Oryzias latipes: one gene and its partner. The protein of the gene in region 1 interacts with the protein of each later gene in a biochemical or structural test. Links are inferred from orthologs where the notes say so. Each region holds a gene or a part of one and is shown in the gene's direction. Other genes may lie near its edges. The genes, in order: mapk8ip3 and mitogen-activated protein kinase 10.

Region 1 (3,827 bases):
GTAGAATTATTTATTGCTTTTTTTGTGCTTACAATTTTTAAAGCTTTTACTTATTTTATGACAGCATACATTTGTATTTTGCAGTTTATAAAGATATTTTGAAAACAAAAGTAAATAGATATCAATGATTTTTAAAAAATCATTTTAAGAATCAAAAAGGACTTAAAAGATTCAAAACCCTTTTTTCTCCCAGTTAGTGACTTCAGCATATAACAAATAATTTTTAATTTTTATTAATTACACTTTTTACTCAGTCAGTTTTAAGATCAAATAGTAAAAAAAGGTTTAGCTTTCATTCAACACTTTTTATGTCCAAGTCTTATATGAAACATTTTCAACAAGGAGCTTAACTGTTAAGCCCTCTCTATACATCAAAATGAAAGTATTGATGCTTTAAAAGCGTAGGTTTATGTTCTAACCTTTTTGCTGCACAGCATTACCTAGTTTCTGTTCAGAAGCAGAGTTCATAAATTACAGAATTGCATTAAATAAAATCTAAATTTCAGTTATTTTGATTCAGATCTAAGCCCATCAGTCCTCCCTGTGGTTATTTCCAAGTTTAAACAAATAAACTTCATGCAGACTTCTAAAAAATGAATAAATACTATAAAAGCCAGTCTTTTGAAAGGCTCTTTGAAACTGATACAAAAGATTTGGCTCACTAGAAAGAGCCATAAATCCAATCACTAGCTTTTTTGCATTTGATGTGCTCTCAAATTAAATTTCCACTTATTATGAAACGATAAATTGTCAAATATCAAACATACCAGCAGCTAAATACTCAGCTTCTTTGTCTGGGTCTCACTTTTCTCTTTGTGGTTTTTATCTATTACCCTTTGTGTCACACATCGCCACTCATCAAGGAGGATGGATCTGAGTCTGACTCAGTGGCAGCTACACCCAGCAGCACAGGAAGCAAGTCCAACACACCCACCTCCTCTGTCCCCTCCGCCACGGTCACCCCTATCAATGAAGGGTTCCTGCTACAGTCTGATTTTGACATGGTGCCTGCTGGGAACAGGAGGAAAAGTGGCAAGCGTTTAAGTCGGAACATGGAGGTGCAGGTTTCCCAGGAAACCAGGAATGTCAGCATTGGTGAGCAAATGCTAAACCAAATAAGAGGAAAATGGAGCTTTTCTCTTCCATTGTTAATTATTTATTGAAATGTTTCATAAATTGGAAGCTGTGTGATGTATTTATGATATTCCAGGTATGGGAAGCAGCGACGAGTGGTCAGAGTTTCAGGAAATCATTGACTCCACTCCAGAGCTGGAACACTCCGTGTATGGAGGAGGAAACAGGTTAGGACTATGTTGTGGTCTTTTTATTTGTACATTAAGAGCTTTTATAGCACTTTTACTATCTTTATATATATTATTATTATTTTCTTAAGATTATAACAACAAAGTTAATATCATGGATTCTGCAAACTCCAAAAGCTTTGCCTTTATCCTATTCAAAAAACCTCAACACTAATGTAGATTTTTGCTCCCATCAGGACCAAAAATGTTAATTCATTTCAAATACTAGAAGAATCTAGAAACTTTTATTTTGATGGAAGATACAACAGCAGTGCAGATTAGTAGATTTTTGTGTGTTTCAGTCCCTGTCAGGGCATAGTCAACGAGGCTTTTGGCATCAACACTGACTCCCTGTACCATGAGATCAAAGACGCCAAATCGGACATCATCGGGGATGTGGATGCAGGCGCCGAACTGCTGGGTATGAGGAGGGCTTTGGCTCTGGCAAACTCATTTATGAGCTTCAAAATATGATTTTGTGTAAATATGACATGTGATTTCAAACACTTTTCATGCCAAAGTGGTGGAGCATAAGGGCTGATGCATTCATGTGTTGCAGTTTTTAATTTAGCTTTTAGTTGATTTTAACTGATTTCCCTTCTCTACCTCTGTGCCGGTCCCAAGCCCGGTTTGAGAAGGTTGCGTCAGGAAGGGCATCCGGCGTAAAACATTGCCAAGTTTACCATGCGACTTGTTCGCTGTGGCGACCCCTGATGGGAGAAGCCGAAAGAGGAAGAAGTTGATTTTAACTGATATTTTATTCTATTACTTTTAGTATAGGCTATTTTATGTATTTATTTTCATTTTATGCATCTTATGCTCAATTTTATGTTTTTATATAAATCTTAACTCTCTAATTTTAGTATCTTATCATGATTTTAGCCCCAGTGTTTCTTGTGGGGATCTTTTCCTCCAGGGCTTGCCTGCTTGGTCGGTGGTTGTTGCTGCAGTTCTTGCCCTTGCTGGGGCAGCTGGGGTCTAACTTTGCAGCTTCACAGCTGTGACGTGGACCCCAGTGTTGTCCCAGTCTGGGTGGGTGCTGTGGCGATGCTCCCATGGCCAAGCTGGCTCCTGGAATGAAAGGATTCCCAAATACTGTTTCCTCACAGCAGAGCCAAGCCATACTTGTTTGTTTGCTTGCTTATTTATTTACTTATTTATTTTTCTAAAGTTACATAGTCATTATTCTTTGTACGGGGGGGGGGCATGGGTCATATGTTTGAACGGAGGGGAGTGGGAAGGGTAAAGGGTGGGTTGGGTTTTTACTGTAATATTGTGTGTGTTCTGTTTTTAATGTTAAAGCGCTTCGAGCTGCACAAAATGCATGAGAAGCGCTATTTTATAAATAAGGTTTGATTTGATTTGATTTGAGAAGCAGCTTTTTGCTTTTCCTTTTCTGCAGACAGCTTCATGTGAGGCTTCGGGAATGCTTCACTGCACTCTTGTTTTTTATTTGCCTGGAAGGCTGCAGGGCTGCATCACTGCAAAGTCATGCAAGAAAAAAAAACAGTCATGATTAGAGGAGCAGATATGACATTTCTACAGCAGTTTGATTCACACTTTAAAAAGGTTTTTTTCATATAACTATAACATTTATGGTCCGTTTAGTGCAGTTTCACATCATGGCTACATTTGTTTTCTTGCTTTATGTTTGTAATGATCCAATAATTTTGTTTATTTTAGTTTCTGTTTCTGAATTTAGGTTGCTCTGAGCTTCGTTATACCATCCCTGACTTTTTACGTAGATGGAGCAGACAGGGAAATTTGACCCGGTTTCAGTCCATCTGGTAACCTCTCACCCATTTCTTTTCTTTTTTCCCTTTTATGTGCTTCTGCCGGTGACACCCATAGGGGAGTTCTCAGGTGTGTATCTTGTGCATTGGTATTCTTTTCTTTATTCCCTCAGCTCTTTTACTCTTTTACTTCTCTTCGAACCGAAGGAAAACAGTCCATTTATAAAATACCTGAAAACAAAGACACACTACATTTTATAATAATGTATGAAAAATGTAAACCTGATTAAAAAAATAGTTCAATGAAGAGTTTAATACTTTAAAATTCAAAAGCAACCAGATGTGTCAATCACTTTCAAGATTTGTAAAAATTAGAAACAGAATCAATAAAAAGGTAAAGAGGTTTTACCAGCATCATGCTTTAAATACACCTCTTTTTAGATTTTTTACCCCCTATTGATGCCTATTGATGCAAATGTGACTCAAACCACTTCAGCTCCAAAATTATCTTAATTTAGCATCTACATGAAAGTATTTCATAGCTTGAAATGAATTCAGACATCAGGGGGTTATATATATACCTGTTTATTAGTCACTCATTCTGATCCTGAAACTTGTAAACTACAAGTGTATCATCCAGAAAAGACAATAAAGCCTATGCTTCCTAAAGTTTTCTTGGACATTGTTCTTTGGACAATTTTTGAAAGACTTTTGTATCCAAGGATGTAAGTTTTATCCTAAAGGTAGCATTTTTCTACATGTTTATGACTGATTGATGCACACATAAAATAAA
Region 2 (3,827 bases), on another chromosome or scaffold:
TAAAGCAGTTTTTAGATCCGAAAAACCCAAAGTGTGCCTGATAAAAGGATGGAAAAGCTTCTAATAGACTGAAAGCAATGGTGAAACAGCAATCCGATAAAAACAACCCCAGAAACAGTTTAAAAGAAAACACAAAAATGGCACATATAATAAAAAAATAAGAAGAAAAGTAAAAAATAAAATAAAAAAAAAGCAAAAAGGTGAATGTTTTTTCTAGTAACTAAATATATATATATATATATATATATATATATATATATATATATTATTTATTTATTTATTTATAGTTACTAGAAAAATACACTAAATGTCAAAAAAAGAAAAAAAGAATCAAGTTTTTGCTTTAATTTTTATCAGGAATTAACAAAATATTAACAGATTATGATGTTTATTTGTAACGACCATTTTTGAAATCATACTCTGAGAGTACTAAAATATCATTCACCTCATTAGTGTTCTTTAATGTTTCCTGGGTTCAAAAGGCTGATTTTTCCCTGATGTCATTGAATGCGGTGAATATCAACTGTGCTTCATTGGTTTATATTTGCACCCACAGCCAGCCAGGCCAGAGACCTGCTGTCTAAGATGCTGATCATTGACCCTGCTAAACGAATATCAGTGGACGAGGCCTTACAGCACCCCTACATCAACGTGTGGTACGATCCGGCTGAAGTGGAGGCGGTGAGTCAGCTGTTTGTCTGTGGTTGGTGCTCAGTTCTGTCTGTGATTGATTGGTCAGGACACTCTACATCTATAGAACATGGGCAGATTAACCATCAGTGTCTCCTGGAAAAACTAAAAAGTAGACAAAAATGATGACTGGCCCTTTAAATATTTTTCAATCGTATTATTTGTTCTTTTTAATTTTTTTATTTTACATTTATCTTTAGTCAGTGATGTCGTTTTGGCATTTTCTTGTAAGGAACTGTCTTTTTAGTGTTACTTTAATGGTGGCCTTGAAGTGCAAGTCATTTGAACTTTAGTCTTAAAATCCAAAACAAACAACTTTAACACCACTTCGTTTGTAAAATGCCAATTAGGCCAATAATCAAGCATGGTGGTGGAGGGGTAATAATTTGAGCTAATTTGGTATAAGGTTTTTGTTTATTTACAGACATTTACTGCTTCCTAGAATTCACTATGGCTGCAATTTTCTACTTAAAATAAATGATCGCTGCTAATTTCTGCTAATTTATATGACATTTAAGGACATCTTGTTTTATTATGAGATCGTTAATTGACTGCTGTTGTATATAAATACTGCCTTATTGCTGAATGCATATGCAGATAAGAGGAGGAGAAACCCTTTTTTTTGCGTCTGATCTCTGCTGGCTGCTTGTAAAGGGAATAATAGCTAACTTATTCTTTAAAAAAAAAAAAAAAGCCACTCAGTTCTTTCAGAAGAACTTTTCTAGGTCGTATCTGCTCAGTTTGTGGGTTGAGTGAAAAAGAGAGGAGGATCATTGGGCTGAATGTGAGCCAGGATCATTATGAAACAGAGATAAAAGAGATTGAGTTGATGCCAGACAACATATCTGTGCTCTGGTCAATGAAATCATGTGGAAGAAGGATTGAGGCACTTTAACAACAATTTGTTCCTGACTGTGAAAAGCTTTAAATGACAAAAGATACATCTGTTAACATATTTTCTTTCATTTTTCCTTGACATTTAACTAAGTAAGTAAATATAAAAATGTAAGAAAGTTGTTTAATACAATCCAAATATTTAGGATTGAATACGATAAATTTCTCTTCTCTTTTAGATTGTTTCCTATTATGCTGCTATGGGCTAAACTGTTCGTTCTTCTGTTGATTTGGTGTTTACTTTATAACCTTGCTTGTGAATATGTGGTCTTTTGTGCCAGAAAAATATTTTCAGACTCAGTCATACACCATAACACATTATTTCAAATAATTTCAAATTTCAAAAAGGAAAAAAAAACACATTGCTATGTTCACCTGGCCTTCAGATACTGCTTTATTCTTGCTCTTCAACTGTTGAACTTCAAGTTCTGTTGCACAGCAACCTAACCTTGTGCATTTTTGTGTTGAATATGATTTTGTACCTAGTTTTGATAGCTTGCATTGATGCTAAAATGGACTGTTCTATCTCTTCTTTAGCCTCCTCCTCAGATCTACGACAAACAGCTGGATGAGCGAGAACACTCCATTGAAGAATGGAAAGGTGAGAATGGTTGTTTTCGAGACTTTACTAACCAACAGAACTGTTTTGTTTTGGGGGGTGAATTCTCTGACCTATCCCCCTTAATCTGTGCACCTTGTCAGAACTAATCTACAAAGAGGTCATGAACTTTGAGGAGAGAACGAAGAATGGCGTTGTGAAGGGACAGCCTTCACCTTCAGGTACTCTCAGTGCATAAGCCTAATCGCTCTGTAAGTGAATTTACTATAAACTTATTGGAGTTTCCCCTTGTAAATAGAGAAACCCATTGTGCTCTTGATCGTGTGTGTGTGTCCTGCATCTCTAGTGAAATATCGTTTAGTTCAATGGCTGTACTTTGATGTGTTTGTGAAACTGACACTAAAAAACTTGCAACTGTTAATCAACCAAACAACTTCCTGTCACTGAGGATTTCATGGCACTTGTTTCATTTGTGACACTATGTGATTAAAATATGTTATAACTTAAGGTTTGGGTTCTGCAGTTCCAGTGAAGGTCAATGTAAAGGAGGTACAGCCACAAATTTGTACAATTTTTAGAACTGATGTTCACTTTATCTACCGCAGGGGGGCAGTAAAGAGCCACAAAGAGCAGGCAGACTTCCTCTACGGATTGGAAAAAGCAGAACAGCAATACTGCAAAAAAAAAAATGTAATCTTGTCATTTGAAAAAAATTTTTATAGACATATCGTCTGGAATGCTTCTTTTCTTTCCAAAACGTACAACCTTTATCCTTTTCCACCCTTCCATCCTCTTGTCTATAAGAGGACTGGCTGGACTTTTGCTTCTGAGGCTGAGCACATCAGACGCAGTGCAGGAGTTGCAGACACGGGCATTTCACTGCAGCAGAGAAGGAGAAGGGCTCTGAAATTGAGCCCATCCCCGTTCACTTTATGAAAATCTGCACTGCTGTTAGAGTCTTTGCAAGTCATCCCACAATTCCATTAAAGTGAAACACCGATCCTGGCATGTAAGCCTTTTGTGATTCTGTGTTTAGTCAGTTAAAGAGATAAATATTCCACTGAACTGTACACACACACACACAAAAAACATCAGCATTTGGATGTTTTTTTGCATTTAATCTGTCCTAAAAACTTTGTAATTAATGAAATTAATACAGTTGGTTAAAGTGTATCACTGAAGACCTTAACATTCATGTTGTTCTGCAAAAATACTCGTAAAAAACACATCATTTTTATGTAAGAAAAAATGAAAATGCCTTGATGCATTATAAAAAAAAAGAATATTTTCACAAAAACTCTATTTAACCTTTTGTTAGCGACTGATGAGACTAGATTTCAATGTCCTTTTCCCCTTTTTGTTCCACTGCATCCTGTGCGAGGACGACTACCAATGATCAAATAATGCAAATTATGAGAAATCTCAGGTTTAATAAGTGGATAGTAAACTTTTCTGGATCTTCTGGATTCCTTGCCCCAATATTTAAGGGAGCCACCCTGCACCCATGCACTGGTATCTTGGACCTTATCGTTTTGGATCATGACCCAAAGCTCATGACCATGCAGCTGAGGGCAGGGTCTTAGCTTGATCAGTAAATCTGGTTTGGTGAAGCCAGCAGAGGAGGATCATTTTCAATAAGCAGATATGAAATCCTTTGATCAACTTGTAAGTAGAGGTCATTCCC

Evidence for each region.
Region 2: the proteins of mapk8ip3 (region 1) and mitogen-activated protein kinase 10 form a complex in vitro, tested with the Homo sapiens proteins (3 studies listed by BioGRID, with this or other methods). The link is inferred for Oryzias latipes from reciprocal best matches to the Homo sapiens genes MAPK8IP3 and MAPK10.

Annotation. Positions count from the first base shown.
Region 1 is NC_019866.2:14,602,552-14,606,378, forward strand, and holds part of mapk8ip3 (C-Jun-amino-terminal kinase-interacting protein 3), read left to right. Parts: intron 1-863; coding exon 864-1,095; intron 1,096-1,210; coding exon 1,211-1,301; intron 1,302-1,603; coding exon 1,604-1,722; intron 1,723-3,152; coding exon 3,153-3,164; intron 3,165-3,827.
Region 2 is NC_019870.2:10,343,289-10,347,115, reverse strand, and holds part of mitogen-activated protein kinase 10, read left to right. Parts: intron 1-556; coding exon 557-681; intron 682-2,121; coding exon 2,122-2,185; intron 2,186-2,286; coding exon 2,287-2,364; coding exon of another isoform or gene 2,365-2,381; exon of another isoform or gene 2,382-2,394; intron 2,395-3,827. UniProt on the Homo sapiens protein: Serine/threonine-protein kinase involved in various processes such as neuronal proliferation, differentiation, migration and programmed cell death.